3 linked regions of the Arabidopsis thaliana genome follow. The protein of the gene in region 2 interacts with the protein of the main gene of each other region in a pairwise test. Each region holds a gene or a part of one and is shown on either strand. Other genes may lie near its edges.

The links. Proteins that work in one complex are often made in the same cells at the same time.
Region 1: the proteins of ZFP8 (region 2) and AT2G43220 interact in a two-hybrid assay, tested with the Arabidopsis thaliana proteins (one large-scale study listed by BioGRID).
Region 3: the proteins of ZFP8 (region 2) and AT5G54360 interact in a two-hybrid assay, tested with the Arabidopsis thaliana proteins (one large-scale study listed by BioGRID).

What each region holds. Positions count from the first base shown.
Region 1 is NC_003071.7:17,960,834-17,969,242, reverse strand, and holds AT2G43220 (Cysteine/Histidine-rich C1 domain family protein), read right to left. Parts: upstream 5,025-8,409; 5' UTR 4,904-5,024; coding exon 3,287-4,903; 3' UTR 3,032-3,286; downstream 1-3,031. Other genes in the region: AT2G43235 (phosphoribosylformylglycinamidine synthase), read left to right, coding at 1-88, 187-333; AT2G43230 (Protein kinase superfamily protein), read right to left, coding at 797-928, 1,016-1,102, 1,191-1,323, 1,402-1,675, 1,749-2,126, 2,256-2,473, 2,583-2,650, 2,736-2,768; AT2G43210 (Ubiquitin-like superfamily protein), read right to left, coding at 5,683-5,921, 6,012-6,254, 6,443-6,971, 7,053-7,271, 7,349-7,416, 7,510-7,575, 7,752-7,833, 7,939-7,991 and 1 more.
Region 2 is NC_003071.7:17,503,827-17,511,412, forward strand, and holds ZFP8 (zinc finger protein 8), read left to right. Parts: upstream 1-3,516; 5' UTR 3,517-3,729; coding exon 3,730-4,503; 3' UTR 4,504-4,790; downstream 4,791-7,586. Other genes in the region: AT2G41945 (uncharacterized protein), read right to left, coding at 6,107-6,139, 7,254-7,387, 7,464-7,483. UniProt on the Arabidopsis thaliana protein: Probable transcription factor required for the initiation of inflorescence trichomes in response to gibberellin and cytokinin. Is not involved in the regulation of trichome branching. Is functionally equivalent to GIS2.
Region 3 is NC_003076.8:22,068,703-22,075,705, forward strand, and holds AT5G54360 (C2H2-like zinc finger protein), read left to right. Parts: upstream 1-3,159; coding exon 3,160-3,972; downstream 3,973-7,003. Other genes in the region: AT5G54350 (C2H2-type zinc finger protein), read left to right, coding at 1,433-2,218; AT5G54370 (Late embryogenesis abundant (LEA) protein-like protein), read left to right, coding at 6,632-6,854, 6,939-7,003.

The sequences.
Region 1 (8,409 bases), 460 kb from region 2:
GGAAATACAAGGTAAACATTCTGAATCGGTGGCAGAGCTGTCGAAAATATGCCTCATTCATCGCATATTTCCTCCCAACGAGTACTCTGTATGTGCTTTTGTTTCTTTACAAGTTGAAGATTTTTTTCTCCATAAATCTCTTCCATGGTTTTCACAAAACTGCCTCTCTTGTTTACTAATCCTCAGGCTGAGATGGAAATGGTTGCAAGAGGGTTGGAGAAACTCATGAAGCTTGAAGAGCGACAGTCTCTACTGAAAACGTTTGTTGGAATGTGTTGCAGTGAAGATAGTCAAAGAAGCGCAGCTGAGGCTCTGGGTTTGGTGCACTGGTAATTGAATTGCTTGCTGATTTTTCAACTTCTAGTGAGGACAACCATTCAAAACACTGTCATACTCAACTTAACAGGTGATTTTAAAGTAATTGAATAGCTCAGAAATATTCTTAGTCTAGTGTCTGAGTGACTCTAGTCCAAAGTTTGTGTGACACTCTTTAACACTATAAAATCATGGTGTTATAAATTTCTGTATATTCAAGCTATTTTCCCATGAATTTGCCTAAAAAAAGAGAAGTGTCAGCTTATATGTTCAAACGAACAAACAAAAGTTATAGAATATTTCATAAGAATCAACCCATCAAAAAGCAGTTAACACAGATCATTTCCATGGAGTGAAATCCCAATTGCTCCTCACCACCTCCCCTTAATAACCATTTACATTCCATGGTAGATAGAAAGAATAAAGTGAAGACAAAACCTTGAAGCCATGATAATCAGTAAGCAAGAACCACAAAGAAGAATCAAGGTTGAGGTGTTGGAGGAGCAGCAGCTGTTGCTGACCTCAAGAGCGGTTGAAGAGCTTTTACTACAATGCTCATGTTTGGCCTAAACTCTGCTTCGTATTGCACACACAACGCTGCAACCGCTGCAAGCTGTATTTACCATCAAAACACACATTTTAGCTTGTAAGTGGGGTCCACTAGAGTTATTTAAATGACTAGGAAGTTTCTGTTCATTACCTTTGCCACTGCTTTAGGAGGATACTCTCCTTTGAGTTTTGGATCAACACATTGTTTCACTTTGTCTTCACTCAGCCTTGGAGTAGCCTGGATATTAGATTTACAGAGAAAGTTATAACCAAGAAAAGATTTGGTAGTCTCAGAAAGAAAGAGTCAAATTAAGTAAGTTAAGTACCCAAGTGACAAGACTCTGTTGACCACGAGGCATAGTATGATCAACCGGTTTTCTCCCGGTAAGAAGTTCCAAAAGCACAACTCCAAAACTGTAAACATCACTCTTCTGTGTCAACTGTCCTGTCATCGCATATCTGCAAACCCAAAGTTACATTCTTTCAGTTACTAAGAATCAAGAAAATTCCGAGCTATCAATGTTGAAGCATATTTACTCTGGTGCATGATAACCGAAGGTCCCCAAAACTCTAGTGGAATGAAGACGAGCAGCCATATCAGGAGCTTGATTGGAAAGATTAAAGTCAGCAATCTTGGCTTTGAAATCTTCGAAAATAAGCACATTGCTAGATCGAATATCTCTGTGTATAACCGCAGGTTGAACTTTCTCGTGTAAGTATTCTAATCCTTTAGCTGCATCAACCGCAACTCGGACTCGTTGCATCCACTCAAGTGTTGGACCAGGTTGTGCTCCTTGCACTCCCTTTCTCCCTGTTTAGCATCAAGTTTATCAATCTCCATCCTAAGCCATATTGATGTTTGAGCAGAAAGAAATCTTTCTTACCGTGTAAGATGTCGTGCAATGATCTCATTGTGGCAAACTCATAAGCAAGGACACGAAGGTTCCCTTCTACACAATAACCAAGAAGCTGAACAAAATTGTCACTTTTCAGCCTCGAAACTTTAGAGACCTGAGTCAAGAACTCGACATTTGTTTCGGGTTCAGATGCATTATCAAGCTTTTTCACAGCCACGGCCTTCCCATCATTAAAGTTTGCGTAGTACACTCTTCCATAGGATCCTTCTCCAATCAATGCCTTTGATCCAAAATTCTGAGTCTTTTCTTTGAGCTCAACCAATGACATTGCGGGGACATCAATAGGCGGAGGCTCCTTCAAAACAGGAGGCTTCACAGGAGCTGGTGTTTTCTTGTTGTTACGTCCTACACAAGCAAAAGATATTGAAAGGTTAGGAATGGACCAAAAGCACATTTGGAATGCAACTAAAAGAGGCCAAGAATAAAATTTGATAGGTTACTTCAATCACAAGTAAGGTGAAGAAAGAGCGATACCATAGTCGTAATGGCGAGTAGGAGGGGTTTTCAATCGGTTATTTTCAGCTGATGGGTAAGATTCTTGTACACGACAAGAACAGCACAACCACCTACGCATCTTCCCTCTCTTGCCTATATCAAGATCGTCTACAGCTCTCGGTTTATCCAATCGAACAAAGTTGCTTTGTGTACGATCATTCGCCTGCGTTTTCACCAAAACACATAAATGAGCTGTTCTAACATGTTGCAGGAAAACAGAGGACTCTGCCTTCAAATCAACAGGCTAATAACAACAATTGTCTATCATGATCAACACAAAGGCAAATTAGGTTTCTTTATAAATACATTTGTAGATAAGTATTTTCAAATTTTGTAAAAACATTAGAATTTGTTGCGCGTTGATCTTGATTGACCTAAGACCATTACGTGATCTCAAGACATGATTTAAATAAGATGACATTTTTAATGATCAAAGCTGTGTTTGCGTGTAATGCTTACCACTTGACCACGACGATGAAAATCACGATCCATCAGAAATCAGAATGCAATTTAGAAACAAACGATCAACGAGCAATAAACCAGAGAGACGAATCAAAAGGAAAAAATGTTTGTAGACAAATGAGAGGCAGAGACGAAAGGAGGTGATGAGCTCGTGGAGAAATTTAGGAATGAAAAAAATTTGGAATCCCAAATAACTACGGAAAAGAAAAGACAGAAAACACAAAAGATAAAAGAAAAAGCTAAGAAAAGAAAGAAAACGTCAAAAGGAAGCGACAGAGAGGCGTGTGATCAAGAATAGAACAAACATCCCAATTTTGGTGAATTATAATAAAAGGTGTGAAGAATAATTACCTTCAAAGTCTCTCTCTCTCTCTTTCTCTCTTTCTCATAAATAGTTTTATGAACTGAATGAGCAAACCAACAATAAATCCAAATATAGAAAACAAGTTTATCTGAAAATAATTGAAAAACATTACACAGCCTCCATCTGTAAAAACCCATATTCTTTTTATGTTTCCAAATCCTTCCTTTCGCCTTCCTTCAGGCATTCAGAATTTCGCATTCTGAAAACAAGCTTTTGAGCAATAGTAGTACTCAATATTTTTTCTAGTAACCTTGAAAAACCTAGGGAACCTACAACGAGAGCCACAATCAGTGCATTTTGGTCTAGAATCGTGATCGTTGAAACCCACTTCAAACTTATTCTCCCTGTTCTTCATTATTATTCCAGGTTTTATGTTCAAAAAGTCCCCGGTTACGCATTCAATATGGCACACGACCCCACAATCATCGCATGTATAGAACCATCTTTCAGGATTGGTTTCGGCTTCACAGATTTCACACCAATATTTACCTTCAGGCGCCTCCTCCCCAGAGCGCAAAACTAAATAATGTGTATCACACCTATGCTTTATGACTAATGGTAGAGTGGCGCATTTGTAATCCAAAGAATAATCACAATCAACACAACGCAGCACATTGAGTTTATTCTCACCGCAAGCTAAGCAAGTACCACGATCTATTGTGGTTAGAAATAACGTGTGAGGATGAAGTTTGGGGTGCTTGAAGAAAGAGAGAGACGCACACAACACATCGAGTACCACACCCTCTTCATCCTTGTAGCTAAAACCCCTTCCATCTCTATTGCAAGCATCACAACTGAAATTTTGTTCGCTAAAATCCTTCCCGAAGCGAAGATAAAATATACCTGTGGAAAGTCCATGTCGTTTCGTAAGAGGAAGATTCGCACACTCTTCGTGAAGAATAAACTTGCATTCCACGCACTTGTAGTGCTTCTCAGAAGAGACTGGACGGGCGCAAGCTTCACAATGCATGTCTTCAGCACCATCTATAAAAACATCCTCAATAAGGAATAAGTTATGTTTCTCGTGGGAGAAATGATAAATTACCCCTTCCTCGATCACTTCAAATGGCGCAACGTCTACTACTTCCTCAGGTATCCCTTCGAGTTCGGTCCCATCCCACACGTCTTTTCTAGTTGCACATTTTGAATGAACAAAAAAATCTGGACATTTGTTGCATGAATAGCCTCCGTACGTGGTGTTGATATCTTGACGACAGATTTCACATACCCAATTCCCACGTTTGAGAGGATATGAATGTGAAATGCGATGATCATGACGATTGATGTTGATGACGTGTGGTAGATCAATACAATCATAATGAAACATGACAGAGCATGGTAGGCATACATAAGGGTTCCGTTCACCATGCGTACCACAAGCATTGCAAGTGAAGGATACTTCCCTTCCCATGAGGGTGAGTGCATGCTCGTGGCACTTTGGATGATCCACTTTGTGGGGCGGGGGCCTGTTTCCGCATTCCATATCTATGCTGAAATTGCATAACTTACAATGGTAAACGAAGTTGGAGAGTTTCCGTTGACAGAGGCTGCACTTCTCGTCAGAGTAACTAGGTGGCCCTTGGAGGAGAACCTCTAGGGGATGGTTCGGGTGACAAGGGTGGTTAATATTCTTCGTTGACCTTGGCACGCAATAGGGATGCCATTTTATATTGCATCTGAAGCATCCATAAAAAACTTCAAAGAAGGGTATAGCACTCCTATGGCACTCTTGGCAAGTGAACATACGATATTTTTCATATAAAGGATGTTCGTGCCAAAAGAGGTCCAGCGTCTTAGCCATGGGCAATGTTAAGAATGGTTGTGGATACGATGAATGAATAAGGATCAGGGAACTTTAAGAAAATTGAAAAGGTTTAACTTCAATTCCTAATTGATCTCTAAATCCTTATATTGTTGACCCGTATCACTACCCACGATCTCCGATATAAATCACTCAAGTTGATCATCGTTAGTTGTACGCAACTAATAGAACTGGTTTAGTCTTTTCTTAAGGCTCAATTTGGGGGGTCCAAGTGTTTATTATATGTCAAAAAAATTATTTAGTTAGTCCGACTAATCTTTCACCGGATTATTAAAATGCGTACTCATCGTTGACTATAGAAATATATATTAAAAAATTGTCTGGTTGATCACATATATATGTTTTGTTATCCGAGTTGATAATATTTTGGAAGGTGTGAGGATGAGCACAAGGGAAACCGCTAGGAGAACAAGAAGCTGTCAGTGAACGCCTTTTCACAGTTCAATGAAGTCTTCACTTGCATAGAAAAGAATATACAGATTCTTATATTTAAGCAACCATTTAACTCTAATATTTTTGTTATGATTGGAACCGAAGTTAATCAAACGACACTAATTAATTTCTAGAACCGAATTTAATCAAACAGAAATTGCTAGTTTTTTTAGATTTAAATTTAATACGAGCAACCGAAAAAACGGAAACGCATCAGGATACATTTTGCAGCTGGTCTCTTAAATGGTTCATAAAGAGTCAAGTATAAAAAGTAAACACCCGAGCTGTTTCTGTATCTATCCACACAGATTTCAACTTCTCTTATTTCATCGTCTATCATTACTGTCTCCACCGCTTCCACCACCGTACTGTGTGGAGTTTCCGTTCCAAAAAGCGTTTCCATCACCAAACGGAGCCTCATCTTCATTGTGATTCAACGTATGGATGTTACTTCCAATCCGAGAAGTGGTTGGTCTCCTATTCCTAACGTTGCTCCTACCTTCTGATGGATCTTGAAAGGACGTCCCTACTTGCCCCAGATTGTTTCTCACCTCCGTATTTGGTCCTATAGATAGAAAAAGAGAGAATCAGATTAGCAATTACACGACTTTCTGCATTAGAATGGATTTTATAAACTCATCATATTCCCGCATACTTGTTTGACGTTCTGGAACAGAGCTTGATGCGTTGGCAGTACCACCGCCAAAATATGAAAACGGGTTTGCATAAGACAGTACTCTTCTAACATAAGCAAAGTAACCGCCACTATTAGGGTCTGTGTTGTTGTTAGACTCCGAGTAAGATGTTCCTCTTTGATAGACGGTTGCTCTTTTTCGCGGAACTACTACAAGTGCTTGTCTATCGAACAATCTCAACTCGGATAGAGACTTATCCAGATCTGCAGAGATTAAGAGTAATGGAGTTATGTATCTACTACACTAGTCCAAACTGACCAGAAAAAAAAAAAAAAAAAACCTAAATGGCAGAAAACATCATCTTCGATCAAGATGAAGCTGGTTTTAAGGTAAAATGTTCTTTACCAAATAAAAATAAAAATCTATTGGATGCATTGTAGATTTTACGTACCTTGGTCAGTATACACCTTACGTGGGTAAGGAACCGCAAGATCATAAGCACCCAGTCCGATTGTTTGATTACTGTTCACATAATCCTTGACCATTCTCAATATACTTGTCACAGAAAACTTCTCCTGAAGGCTACTACCATCAGGTAATCGAATGTTTAAATGAACGTCAGATGCTTTTTTGGATTTTTCTCCATCCTCTTCCTCTCCTCCTTCATCCTTTGGCTTCATGGTCTCTTTTGTATCGACAGATTTTGTTAGATTAATGTCCCTTCCACTAACACCTACACCACTATCCTCTTCATTTATCACAGTTCCCTGTTTCCTTTTTCTATCAACAGAAGATCGAACCCTGGATGTATTATCATTTGTTCCTGGGGCTGTAGGACGAATTGGCTCCTTTTCTGCCTGAACACGCAAAGGGGTCTCTGTCGCTTCATGTTCAACATTGGCCTTAGTTCCATCAACAGAGGGTGCTGGCTGGTTTTTAGTAGTATCACACAAATTACTGGGTTCAGCAGATTCTTTGCCCTGTTTTAAAAAAAGGCTGCATCATGTAAGCAAAACAACAAACTAAAGTAATGTGGAAATGATTTCAGCTCCAGGGACAACCTTAACTGCAACTGTGCCATCATTGTTTTCTGTTGTTGATGCAGATGTTACCGTTGACTTTGTCTCTGAGGGTTGAACACTAGAAGCCGTCGATGGAGATGCAACCGCTGCATCTAAAGGAACACTTCCGGGAGGCAAGACAACACTCGAAGCACTAGAAACAGGTGTCTCTGAGTTCTGTGATGCAAGTGCTGCTGAAAAGATACTTGCAGTTGTTTCCTGAAAATGAGAAAAGTCAACTGAAAATGTATAGAAGGACGAACACCACCATAAGTGAGAAAGCAGCTATCACGTACCTGGATATGAAGTCCTAACCACGCTTTCTCTAAACTGGATGCAAGGTCTTCAGCAGTGATAAATCCTTCTGAAAGATAGAAAGGGATAGAAAACAAACTTGAGTACGTTTGCTTGACTATAACGTGTAAATACTTAAAATCTAAAGTACATATGGTCTTACCGGTTCTCCAAACTTGTGTACCACTGAATCCAATGGCAGCTATACAAGGAACAGATGAATATGGGTCTAGAAACTGATGTAAAGATCCCTATTGCATTCACACGTGAGTTAAAACTTATTACAAGCCTACAAGACAGATTCTATAGAAAGTCTGTTGAAACGAAGCATTCTCTATAAAATCCATAGAAACAGCTTTCGACTAGATCAGCTATCTTAAGTTCTCTGATAAAAAGAAAGGATACATATTGCAGAGAAGTTTGTGGCGTCAACACTTCCAGCTTGGATATGCACTAAAATACAATACTTCGACAACGAATCTGCCACCTTTATAAGGAAACATACGATAATGATATGAGTGAAAAATAGCCTTGTTTGCATTTTCAACAATAGAGGAAGAGAATGAAAAGTATAAAAACAAGAGAAACCTACCGATGCATCAGTCCAAGTCAATCTGTTCAACTTATCCGACTCTTCATCCTCTCCTAAAATTTGGAAACAAATTTAAATTTTTTGAGATTGAGCTCACAATATGATTATGGCTCTCTTCAATGTTGAAACTTTTTCTTAAAAGGCCATATTCTTGTATGATCAGAAATCGTATTCAGATGAGATACTACAGGAGAAACAAATCTCCTAACACTATCCCACTCATATTCGAATTCCAACAAGAGAGAAATAAAATTCCATTAATTTACCAGAAATGTAGACAACAAAAAGCTTCTTCTTCCCTTTGGCTTCAAATATGGCTTCTGGAAGAGAACCCTTGAACGTAAGAGAAGACAGAGCTTCCATCTGTCAATCAAAAAGGTCACTGCAGATCAATCAGAACCCTTGAACCCTAAATTCAGTGAATTATATAACGAGTACCATAAACCCCTAGCTAGAGCCGATCAAACCCAG
Region 2 (7,586 bases):
GTTGTTGTCACCACCTATAAATTTCTCTTACTCATTCAATCATGTTTTTTTCTTTCTTAATGCTTATTTTCAACTCTCTCCCTTTCATGGTAAATTTTTTTCATATACTTTTTATCAGACTCTCTGACACGTTCTAAAATTAACGACTATGTATAAATGTCAAACAATGACTCATGTAACTAAACAATTTCTTGTATCGAATTTAGAAATATAGGGTCTGTTGATGCCGGTTTGTAGAACATTGGTGGTTAGTTTTGAACTCCTTTGTTTGTTCATATACATAGTTTTGTGTTTTTTATATCCACTAAATCTATTAGAAAGCTATACCTCTTGCCTCTTGGTAAAAAAATAGAGTAGGTTAAACGCAAACTTGTTTTTTCACTACTAGTAAAAAATTTCATCTACTTGTAATGCATAATGTAGATCATCCAAAAAAAAAAAAACTAATAATAGTAATGAAGATCATCACACCGTGAGATATTAATTGATCTTATCATTATTGTATATAAAAGAATTAATCATGAGTTTGGTCATGAGTTCGATGAAGTGATGGAGAGTTAAGAGTAGATTGTTTAAAACTGAAAGAGACCGGTGAGCTCTTCATGTTGTTTTTAACTCCACTTGCATTTGTTCTATAGCTTTTAATTTTGGGGTTCCTCTCATTCTTATTTTCTGTTTTCTTCTACTTAAAATAAAATATCTTTCACCATTTATTTTCTATATTACTTTGAAGTTCGGTCCTTGTATATAGCTGAACATTGTGAGGTCACATATAACGAAAAGGACAAGATATGCTTGTCCCTCAAAATCTAGACTCTTTTTTCTCATCTTTCATATTTATTATCTTTATTATTTATTACTGGCCCAAACATTTCATCATATTTCTTTTCAGAAAAATAAACAAGGAGGGAATTTGCATACATATGTGTATATAAGAGTGGAGGAGTTGAATCCAAGAAATGGATGTGAGGGCAAGAAAGTGAGAGATATGGTCCCCTCAACAAAAGCCATTAAATCTCTGAGCATATGACTGTGACTTTAATGGCAAAGCAAAGAGGTTTGCAATTGCATGATTCAATGAAGAGTTGCTGTTAGGGTTTGGGAGATTTGTGGGCTTTTAAGTGCATGTTTTTTTGTGGGGTTCAAGTGCCATTCATGGGACCCAATTACATTTTTTTTAGATTTGTTTTACTTTTCTTTGTAACCATGTTTTTAGATATGCATTTACAATATGTTTTTTTTTTCTTCCCTTTTTTATGAGATTTAAAAGTATTATATTATGACACAAGTATGTTACACTGGTTAGGACTTAGCTTTAGACAAAAAAAAATCAGAGTCCGAGATTTTATATAGATTTCGTCTTTTTAATCAAAAAAGTTCTGATATATAACCTAAAAAGACTACGTAGTATGATCTAAGAGATTTGACAAAATTTGGTTGTAGAAAGTCCGATATTAAGCATTCTCATCAATTTCCCTTAAATATTTTTCTAAAATATTAGAGGAATACAAAAAAACATTCTCATTAACTATATAATTTTAATAACAGTTAAAACTTTCATATTTGCATGCCAAGGCTCTCTGATGAGTTTAAATGTTAAATCGCATGTGTAGGTTTAAACAGAGTTTATTGTTTGTGGAAAAATAAAAGAGACGTGGACTCGTCATGTGAAGTCCAAAATCTGCAAAATTATGTATGTAAATTAATGTACTTTGGGACCAGCATTCGTATGGACATTATTACCATAGTTGAATTTACTTCCCTTTCTTACAATAAGCTTTTGATTACTCATATATACCTCACACATGTTATGTGAATCGGTAAATTCATACTATATGTGAGGAAGTCACTTACAACAGTTGGATTTTAAAGGGAATCCGTCTGAAAAAAATTTGGAGAAAAAAAGAAATTGTTTTGCTTACATAATTTAATTTAAAAATTATAAATAACAATACTTTTATAAGAGAATAGTTTATCTGTTGACCAAAAAAAAAGGAATAGTTTATCTATCCACAAATGGATGATCCATATTGGAGTATATAGAACGATAAGAGATGATTCGATACGTACTAAATGAAAACTTTGAATACTGTGTATAGTAAGCAATCAGCATTAGTTTACAAGATCTTAGTTTTCGTAGGATTAGTTTAGACTGTTTAGTAATTTGATTCCAACCATTGTACAGGAGAAAATTTTTACCGCTCAAAACAACTAACTGAACGTCATACTTAATTGGGAATTTGGGAGTCGTCAAAGAAATGAAAAAGGTCAGATTAATTTATGGATTAATGAGTTTTATAGTCCTTATTCCAGCTTGACATTAGCAACATATACATTATTTGTGTGACATAATCAGGGAATATATATAATCAAAATTAATGGGATTTAAAATTTAATTATTCTTACAAAATATCAAAAAATTTAGTGTAGACGAACAAAAAGAGAATACATATATATATATAGTTCATTTGAAGAAGACGTGTATATGATCGATCCGAGTTGATAAGTATTAACAGATTACATACATATTGATAAGATGATGTGATCTCATCGATTAAGGTTCAATCTTTTAAATTGGTTAACTATCTGGTGATGACATGTCAACTAGTCGATTATGAGCATCATTAATGATCATGAACATGGACCACCTCTCTCTCTCTGTAAGATTATCTTTGCATCAAAGAGACAAAACATCCAAGAGACTAAAAGTATGGTCCTTGAGAGAGAAGAAGTCTCTTTAATTAGGTCTTTCTATTTCTCTCTCTCTCTATTAGTAGTAAAATCCATGTACTTATACGTAGACATAATAACCAAATAGGTCCGTGATGTTAAAGAGTACACACCTAACTTCACCTTGCTAATGATCTCTTACCTACAAACTCTCACTGTTTTTAGTTCATCTCATTACTCACTGTGACCCCATTTCATCTGCTTACGACCAATTTGGTAAGCTTTTTGTCTTAGTTTCAACATTTGCAGGAATCACTTTAAGAAACAACTAACTAAAAAGGAGATAACTTTGAAAAAGGAGGATTGATGGGTTTGTTTTTGATGAGATGGATATTTGTATATGTATGTCTAATGAGAGATATATTGCGTAGGGGAAGTGAATGTAGATTAGAGGTCTCCCTATATATTGATTGATTTTATCCGGCTATTTTTACCTACCGCGACACACGGTATAGATTCATAGTAAGCTACAATTTAAACACAAGATAAATCTGTAATCATATAGTATAGTACTATGCTTCCATATATACCCCATATTTACGTCTCCTATGCTTCCATACGCTAATTAGTTTTTTTTTTTTTCCAACCATAATTGCAGGTTTATATAAACATGAACTAACGAAAAAAATAAAATATAAACATGCACCATGGAGTCAATTTTAAAATTCTATGAGGTTTGATTTTCAAAAGGAAAAATCTAATATACTAATGAAAAAATTGAGATCATAAAAAAACTAATGAAGAAGTAGATTTATTTATTTTGAAAAATATGTACAAGTGAAATGTGGATCATTCTTTAGCTATATATATATAGGTGGATAAACGTAAAATCACGCACGCGGCCATGCTGCAGGGGTTAAATAGCAATTATGTATTTACCTTAAAAAGAATTTGGGAACCTCTCTTTAAATTAATGCAAAACCTCATCTCTTGTCTTTCTGTCTCTGAAACAGTCAACCTCATTCTTCTCAAACTCACTCTCCCTGATCTCTCTCTTCCATGGACGAAACCAACGGACGAAGAGAAACTCACGATTTCATGAACGTCAACGTTGAATCCTTCTCTCAGCTTCCTTTCATCCGCCGTACTCCTCCCAAAGAAAAAGCCGCCATTATTCGTCTCTTCGGCCAAGAGCTCGTCGGTGATAACTCCGACAACTTATCCGCAGAACCTTCTGATCATCAAACCACTACCAAGAACGATGAGAGCTCTGAGAATATCAAGGACAAAGACAAAGAAAAAGATAAGGACAAAGACAAAGATAACAACAACAACAGGAGATTCGAGTGTCACTACTGCTTCAGAAACTTCCCAACTTCTCAAGCCCTAGGTGGACATCAAAACGCTCACAAACGTGAACGTCAACACGCCAAACGCGGTTCCATGACATCATACCTTCATCATCATCAGCCTCATGACCCTCACCACATCTACGGCTTCCTCAACAACCACCACCACCGTCACTATCCGTCTTGGACGACGGAAGCTAGATCATACTACGGCGGAGGGGGACATCAAACGCCGTCGTACTACTCAAGGAATACTCTTGCTCCTCCTTCTTCTAACCCACCGACAATCAACGGAAGTCCTTTAGGTTTGTGGCGTGTACCGCCTTCCACGTCAACAAATACTATTCAAGGCGTTTACTCATCTTCACCAGCTTCAGCGTTTAGGTCGCATGAGCAAGAGACTAATAAGGAGCCTAATAACTGGCCGTACAGATTGATGAAACCCAATGTGCAAGATCATGTGAGTCTCGATCTTCATCTCTGACTTCTTTTATTTTATTTTTTTATCATCCATCATTGCTGTGATATATGAGACTCGCTGATCGGTGAAGCCAATTCTTTTGAGAGTGTTGGAGACTGAAAAAAAGAAAAAGAAAACGAGAACCGGTTTGGTGTGTAGATCATCTTGAACCTTTTTGAGGTTTTCACATTCTGAGTTTATATTAATAAAGGGAATAATATTTTGGTTAATTAGTAAAATTCGTTCATCCGTTTAATTTCCTCTCACGTGTGTGTGAATGTGAATGATATAATTATCGTTTTTTTTGTTTGATTTCATCTGTTCATTTGTGAGTTCTGTTATGGCTTCCTTCAAGACTCTCTATAACTTTCAGAGAAAGAGGAACATTAATTTAAGGGCCATGGAAGTCACACGTACTTTCTCTCTGTTGTTGCAGTCGAGATATTTAAAGTCTTAACCATTAAAAACCCCAGAAGACTCTTTAGATACAAAATGCTTAGGGTCTCTGTCTAATTAAAACGGTCTTTTACCGAATCAAGAGGCAACGAAGGATGGGTAAATGCAGATGTTGATGATGATTCGGTGACTGTGGGGATCACTGAAGACAATGGACAAGACAAAAGGGGAGAGAGAGAGAGAGAGTTGAGAAGTGAAAGTGGTCCATGATTACAAGTGTAGAGTTAGCCAAAGATAGAGCTTTCACATCTTTCTCAACACACAGAACCTAAAGCTAAAGCCTTTCCTCAAAAGCTTTCTTCTTTAGTTTCTTTTCTAACCTTTTTTTGGGCAGTTCAAAGAGAATCATCAACTACAAGCTGTCTACCATATTTCCTTGTTCATCTCTCTCTCTCTCTCCCCATATACCACAATGCTCAAAATATAATAAGAAAATAAAAATACTGGTTACAAGCCACGGCACATGACCATGTTTCTTCTTATTGCCTCCAGTGAACAGACTTTGAATGAAGTCCATATGCCCCAAGGCCTACAAGAATCACAATCGTATATCTCAGAAGAAGCAATGATATCAATCCTCGTACCTAACATATGACCTTCAATGTCTTAACACTAACCAAACATTAAAGACAACCATATTTATATAGCTACGACTTTCGGCATAGACCAAGATATTCAAATGCTTGACTTTTCCAGTTTTGGCAAGACTTCAATCACATATATATGTGGCATTGCCTCACACTACAAATATACTACAATAAGAACTCAAGATGGTTACAGATATATAAAGCCTATTTGCTTTAGAATTACCAGCTGTGATACTAACCAATATATAAAAGTTAAACGACAGCTAATCTTACTCTATCAAGTCTATAATTCCAAAAGAACAACTTTGGATACTCTTGAGGTAAAAGTATGCAGGTTATAAGTACTGAGATTGAACAGAAGGAATACTTTTCCTTCTCTAGTTATATATGTCGTGAAACGTTGTAGCATGATTGCTAATGTGTACCTAATCAACTAACATTATGCAAGGAGTACGTCTTAATATTATCCTAAAGCTTTCAAACAAATCTCAGCACATTATTGTGATAACAGGTTGCAGAAAGTGACATTGCAAAACTTCTGACCTTAAGTCTTTAGTCGCGGAACAGGACAGTCGCTGTCTATATTACGGGGAAGGACCAAACGGTGCAAACTCAGCCTGTCAATCAAAAGGATGAGAGATAAGGTTTTCTAGACAAGTCTTATGCAACAAACTATTGCAATAAGGATGCATATCAAAATCACATGGGAACAAAAAACCAAACGAAAAAGAAGAAGAAGACATATCTGCCCTCCTTGGAACAGTTATTTGGATACAAACTGCAGAGGTTAAACCAGAGAGCACAGTACCTTTGAGAATTACGTGATGGTTTTATCAAATTATGGAAAATTTAAGGATACTCAGTGAATGAATGCTGTCAAAGAGTTAACATCAAGAGCAGCTATAAAAGGACCCACTAGTTAATGCAATGGAGAAGGAAGCATGTGATGAACAACATGATAAAAGAAGCACATAATAAAGACGTGTGAAGAGCATACACATTATATAACCTTAGGACCACTTTCTCTGCTCTCTTGTTTTTTTTTAGATATGTAAAAGGGACTAGTGGAATTTAAGGAACATCGGCCCACAACCCTAGGAAAGTTGCAACTTGAGGATGATAGTTCGAACAGTACACATCTCAAACCCCTTAAGAAATAAAACTCACTCAATCTCATTTACACAACAGTGCAACCTGCCAAAACGGTCTCATTTTTGTGACCAAAGCTACATATATAAAGTTCCACCGACCCTATAGACCATGTGGTTCAATCCTTGGGAGTTGGGACTATGGCTTCTTACACAACTAATTTTCAACATCTACTTGCTTGCTACCATTGCTACCATCACTCAGAATCTCCGATCTTGTTGTCAGAATTCAAGACAAACATATCAAAAGTCATAGCAATGGATTCATATGAAAAGGTAGCCATTGAGAAGACATGGTTCATGTAGTTCCATGACTGCTTGTAAAATAGATCAGGAGGATATTGTGTAAGCAGTATAATATATTCAAGAATCAAATACCATGGCATTATCAGTAGAGAGGACCTAAAAGACATTATATTTGGTATAACTATGTTGAGAAATTAACATTATAGATGTGGTTCTCAAGAATGTGACTTGGAAAGGTAACCGAGAAAACAAAATAGAAGAAGAGATCGTGAAATAAGCTGGCTCAGCTAGAGGAGTGGAATAGATTCTCATTTATCTGTGCATGACTTCATTTTACCTCTTCTTTCTGAGTTCGAGAGAGATGAGCTTCTTCGATACGCCGGGTTAGCATAGAAATTCCATAATGTGAAGCACTTGAAGATGCATAATACGAGGTAACTGTCAGCTGAGCAAACTTTGGAAGTGCATAACCTAGCAAGCATTGTACACAAACAAAAGTTCAGGTGCTTTCTTCAAAGTAAACATACAGATGTATCTACATATATACCAGGTACATCAAACAAAAGACTACGTGCACAAAGCTACTAACATACCCACTACCACCTGGCATTTGAAAGTTTTAAACAGATAAGAGGAAAGCCAATTCTCTTGATGGTAAACCATTAATGTA
Region 3 (7,003 bases), on a different chromosome or scaffold from region 2:
CCAATAGTTTCATAGACTAATTAAAGAAAAATGTGGCGTTATAGACTTATAGTCAACTATTCATGTTATATCATCTAAATATATATGACTGAAAATGCATTTTTAAGAATATCAAAACTGGTATTCTGTAAAGTTCATGCACCATCAGTATTTAAAATTGTATTCATTTTGGGTATTTCCTAGTAATTAGTAAGTATATCGAAAGTAAATAAAAAGGAAAATAAACAAAAGAAAACATAGAAAGTAAGAAACTGAAAACAACATAATTAAGGAAACAAAACACAATTTCTATCTATCATTAAGTCAGGATAAGAAAAAACAAGAATAAGTAGTAAAGCTGACTAAGACATAGCTGGAGTTTGTATGTACAATGACTCAAAATTTAACATTCTATATACAATGGTGTGTTTCCCTTTCTTTGTATTTGCAATTATCATATATATATATATTAGAGAAAATAAGTGAAAAATAACATCATTCCATATAATAGAAAATATAATCTTGTATTACTTAGCTTATTAATACATTTTTTTACATATCAATTAATATTTTTTACATATTAATTGCTATATGAAATAACATGAAGTTACCAGTTTGCAACGGTCGATATAACGAACTGAAGCGTAACATTTTTAAAAAAATTGAAATGAGTTAGTGTTTTTTTTAATTTACTTTTACACATAATGACGTATACTATAACAATTATAGATATATTTTAGCTAAGTAGATAAATTTTAGATTATACAAAGCCAGTTGGTATGCACACAAAATTATTATTTTGGAAGACAAAATGTATAAGATCACCATGGTTAGAAAAACAACCATATTTTCTATCTTTCATTGGAGTTATATATAACACATCATGTAAACAAAATCTAGTCAAATTTGAAATATATTAATTAAATTGGTGTATTTTTAACATATGAAGTATCATTTTAGAAAACAGAAAGAACAAAGTCAAGATAACTAGAGACACACGTACTTGAAATCATGAGTAAATAAATATTAGATTATACAAAGCCAGTTGGTACATAATGCACACCAAATTTTAATTTGGAAGACAATGTATAAATCAACATGGTTAGAAAAACAACCATAACTTTTAAAACTATGGATAATTATTCATAGTAGTTATATAACACATAACTTCATATAAACAAAATCTAGTCAAATTTGAAATATATTAATTAAATTGGTGTATATTTAAGAAAGAAAAAAAAAAGTCAAGATTGTTAAGAGGCACAACTATTTCTTTTAAACAAAAAACAATGAATTCAAAGTAGATTTACTGTTACAATTAATGCTATTTGCTCTTGGAGATTTTATACCTTAGCGAGTGCAACACAGTAATTAAATCTCTCAATATATACCATACGTCTCCGGAGAGAAGAAATCACTCACTTCTAATTCTCATCAAAGTTTTACAAAAAAAATGGAGAACCAATCTGTGTCTTCTTCAAGCTCCTCCACCACCCCAAAAAAACCTGATCAAAAACTCAAAAGTGCCGTTGTGACCGTGGAAGAGAAGGAGACAATGAACAATCCGGAACAAAGGCCCCCTCAAGAGGTTGTGTTTGAAAACACGATCCCTGACCCTGAGTTGCCTGTTTTCACATTAGAAGTTGTCCGAACGGAAAGAGATAACGAGCTAAAATATCCTCCAAAGGATAAAAATCTCGACTCGGTGCTTTCTGGTGGTACTTCTCTTCCGCCTTTCCAAAGCTTTCCAGTGCCCTCTTTCGGCCTCTTTGGTCCAGCGTATGGCGGTAGCAGCTCAACTAATGATATTAATCTGGATCTCACTCTTGGTCCATCTTCTTGGTCTAACACTAACCCATCTTCTTGGTCTAACACTGACCCATCGTTCTATCGAAAATTGTTCACTCCCGTGCTACCTTGTGTGCCTAGAAACAATTTTGTTGCTGGAAACCCGGTTGGTTCAAACACTAGGTATATTCCTCCGAATGGAAACAACAATGTTTGTCATGATTTTTTTTTTTTACAGGGGAATAGTTCGGCCTCTACTCACTCGAAAAGTCTCTTCTCAATGGGAAAGAACCAAGCCATGGTGCGTCATTTTGCTTTATCTTATCCAACCACCTATTATTGTTATGATTTGTTTTCTTTACAAGGGAATGGTTCGGGAAACTGGCCACTCAAGTCTCATCTCAAAGTGGGAAAAAAAGTCAGGGTGCCTCCTTTGGCTCCTCCCTATTGAAACAACAATCATGATTTTTTTTCTTTACAGGAGAATGGTTCGGGATCTAGTCACTCGAAAAGTCTCTTCTCAATGGAAAAGAACAAAGCCGTGGAGCCTCCTGTTGCTCCTCCTAATGGAACCACCGATCTTCTGTTTCCTTCACCCGAGAATGGTTCGGGCTCTAGTCACTTAAAAAGTCTCATCTCAAAGGGGGAAAACAAAGTCGTGGTGCCTGAAAATGATGATGATGATGATGATTATACTGATACTACTATCGGGAGGATAAGGTGGTTGAACAAGAAAAAAAGATCAAGACCAGAGTAGTAATTTATCTATGTCCCTTTGATTTTTCAGTTTTCTATTGAGGCTTATGTTCACCTCTCTTTTTTTTTTCATGCAATTGTTTCTTCGTTTCGTTTCAAATAATCTCTGTTGTTTCGATTAATTCATCAGTCCCTTTTGTTCAATTCCTATATCTCATGATTGCTCTAAAATTCCTGCAATTTTCAGAATTCATGGCCCAATTATTCGTAAGCAAACGTTATTTTTTCAAAAGGTTAAAGAGGTTAAAGAGACATTAAAGAGACAAAATGTATAAAATCACCATAGTTAGAAAAACAACCATATTTTTAAGAATATAGATAACTCATAGTAGTCATACGTAACGCATATGAAGAATATTGATTATATTGTTGTGTTTTTATCTTATGAAGTATCATTTTCTAGAAAGAAATTAAAGAATAAAGTGAATGACAGTTGTAGTCTTGGAGAAACAATTATTGCTTTTAAACAAAATTAAGTAGTTTTACGGTATCAATTAATATTTGTTACCCTTGGAGATTATATACCTTAACGAGTTAAATACAATAATTACTATCCTCTCAATAAATATCGCCTCTAAGCAAAGAGATAAGACATCACTCACTTCTAACTGTCAGCAAAGTTTTACAAAACAAATTATGAACAACCAATCTATGTCTTCTTCAAGCTCCTCCTCCCCACACAAACATGATCAAAAACTCAAAAGTGCCCTTGTGGCCGTGGAGGAGAAGGAGACAATAAACAATCCGAAACAAAGGTCTCCTCAAGAGATTGTGTCTGAAAGGACAAACCTTGAGATGCCTAGTTTCAGATTAAGTTTTTTCCGAAAGAAAAGAGATACCGTGCTAATACATCCTCCCAAGGATAACAAGATCAGCCACACCTGTCGTTTCTGCAAGAGGAATTTCAAAAGCTGTTTTGCCCTAGGCGGTCACATGAAGTGCCACAAAAAGGAACGAGAATTGGAGAAGCAGCGAAAGATAATCGAGGATGCGATGCTTTGTGATAGTACTCCTTTCACCTTGCAAAGGCTTCCTGTTGGCCCTTGTAAGTATGGCCAAGGTGGTAGCTCACATGCTTTATCAACTGATGGTATTAATCTTGATCTAACTCTTGGTCCATCCAAGTCCACAGGAGGCAGCAACAATAGCACTAATAACAACACTAACTCATCGTTCCATGGGAATCTAATGACTCCCGTGGGTCCTTGTGTGCCTAGATACAGTTTGGTTGCTGGAAACCAGGTTGATTCAAGCAATATACATGTTCCTGCTTATCCAACCACCGATCTTTGTTATGATTTTTTTGCTTTACAAGAGCATGGTTCGGGCTCTAGTCACTCAAAAAGTCTCATCTCAAAGGGGAAAAACAAAGTCATGGTGCCTGAAGATGATGAGGATATCGGGATGATAAGGTGGTTGCCCAAGAAAAAAAGATCAAGAGGAGAGTAGTAATTTATCTATGTCCCTTTGTGTTTTTCAGTTTTCTGTTTTCTATTGAGGCCTATGTTCACCTCTTCTTTTTTTCATGCAATTGTTTTTCTCTTTTTGTTTCTTTGTTGTCTTTTTGATGATTTTGATGTTTCGATTAATTCATCAAATCCCTTTTTCAATTCCTACATTTCATGATTGTTCTTAAATTTTTGAGATTTTCAGAAGTCATTTTCGTAAGCGAACTTAATTTTTTCAAAGGTTAGAGAGAATCTGCAATTTGCTTAAAAACATTAGTTAAAGAGACATTATCTCTTCATTGACAATTTGTTAGCCTTGGAAAATTGAAAAAAAAAAATAAGAGGCAGAAAGAAGGTCTATCTGATCTTCTATTGTTGTAATTGTAACCTCACAAAAAAAAAAAAAAAAAAAAAAAAAAAAAAAAAAAAAAGAGGCAGTGGTTTCCTTTTGACGATTAGGGTTTCGCTGGTTCCAGTTTGCCCGGTTTTCTTCCTTGACCCAGATCCGATTTACTAGATTGTATTACAAATGTAATCATCTTTCAGGATATTTGTAACAAAAAGATACAACTGTTATCCAATAAAACTGTTATTTTTTTTATGTATTAATATAATCTTGTAATCCTAGTAAGAATTTATAAAACTTAAAAACCTGTAAGGCTGTAACTGATGTTTGCATCTCCATTCTCCAAAGATCTTTTCTATTGAACAAAAATCAAAACTATTTTTGTTTCTCTTGTTCAAGAGAAATCTCCTTTTAAAGATAATTTCCTGAAGACATTTATTCCATAGTATGAAGATCGAGGTCTAGAAGTTGATAGTATTGAAAATTGTCTATTGGATCAACTGGATTGTTTTCTCAAACAAATGAAAGTCAATATTGAAAAACACAAGTGCTTTTTCTTCCAAGCAGGAGATTGATAATTTTGCATTTGGAGCTTGTGCAGATCATTTATATATTAATTTAAGTTCGTGAAGATTTAGGTTTATGGTTGTAGATACCTCACACAAAGCTTACATAGTAGTTACATAGGAATAATACCGAACATCGTCGCTTCATTTGAGATGTTGGGTTGATAGACCCAACAATAAAATCATCCTAAAAGAAGTAAGCTACGTACTTATTATTTATAAAGGCTTGTCCTCCTCCCTTCCTTAAAGCCAAAGCCAACTCTTTAAGTCTCGCTCTCACTGCTTCTGGCGAAAGCTCAAGTTGAGGATGACCTCTCAGAAAATCATCGCTTCCATTTCCATATTCCTCAGATTCAATCTTCTTAAAGCACATATACAATAGCAAAACGGAATCTAGAATTTTATATTATAAAAATGTTGCCACGATTTTTACCAATATCTTATTCAATGTCGACCAAATTAACTATTGAAACCCTAATATCACTGCTTTTATGGAAGTTTGTTTTTCTTGTTCAATCATCGTGGTCTAGAAGTTGATAGCATTGAGAGTTGCTATATGATGAAACTTTATAGTTTTTGCTAGACAATGAGAGTCAATATTGAATACATGAGGAATATGAATACTTCTCAACTTGCAAATTTGTATTTTTACTTCGCAAATTAACAATCTTTTATGAAATTTTAAACAAGTTTTTTGAAAACATCAACATAGATGGAAAATCTGACTAGGAATTTCACAGAAATATGTAAAATCGATTTCTAAGTTCTTGTTGTTAGTTTTAGATGTTATATATTAATGTTCAGGAGATAACGTCATCAAGCGGGGATAGCTCAGTTGGGAGAGCGTCAGACTGAAGATCTGAAGGTCGCGTGTTCGATCCACGCTCACCGCATTTTTCTTTTTGTTTTTGAAATTTTATTTCTCGTTGCAAAACCAAACGACGCCGTATAAATATAAAAGAACAAATTGACTTGGAGCGACGTTGCTTCGTTAGAACGTTAGGTCGCACGTGTAATTGACTTCTCTAAGAATCAAATTCATTGGGTTTCAGAAAAAAAAAGTTATAAACTTTCCATAGAGAATAATACAAGGTCGAAAAATGACAAATTCTTAATTCTTTACATGAAATTTAATATTTCTGAAATTATAATACTTGGTTCACGTATAAAATCATCCATAGATAAGTAATAACACCGTCCATGCATGAACCAATATTATAAGATTCTAACAGGTAACAGATTACATATAACACATGCTCAACAAAATGGCATAGTCATATTTATGAGGACCGAGAAATGTGGATCACTCTGCTTTCTTTGTAACAATTTAGAACTTCGTTCATACATGATACATATCGAAATCTACAATGTCTATAATTTTTTTTTTCTTGACATATATATGTATTTACCGTTGTATAAAACATTAAATATCTGGATTTATGATACAGTTTGTTGTCATTACAAAATTAATCTTAAAACGATACCTTAAACTGGAGAAATAGTCATACTTTAATTTTACTTTGAAACGAAGTCAACGAAGGTTAAGTAAAATTGTTAATGGTGTCACCGCGAAGTTCGTCCAAAGGCACACAGTCTCCAACATGTATCTCAATAATTAATTAACATAATAGCCCCTTTATTAAGCAAGGATTTGACTTTTCACCACTATAAATTCACAATCAACAATTCTCATTATCATCAAAACAAACCAACTTTCCTTCTCTAATCAAAACAAGAAAGACACAAAGATGGAGATCTCAAAAACCCTTTTGCTAGTGATTTCTCTGGTGGCTGCAACTTGTTTCTTGCAAGCCAAGGCAGCTGGAGTTTATTGTAGTAACCCTTACACTCGATGTTACCGCAAGTACATTAGGTGTCCAGAGGAATGTCCAAGCAAAACCGCTATGAACTCCAAGAACAAAGTGTGCTACGCCGATTGCGATAGACCCACTTGCAAATCCCAATGCCGCAGTAAGAATTTTTTCGATTCCTATAATCATAAAGCTTTCACATATGTTTTGTGCATTTTCAAGTAAAGATGATGTTATTGTACAGTGAGGAAACCAAACTGCAACAGACCTGGATCAGCTTGTTATGACCCGAGGTTCATTGGAGGAGAC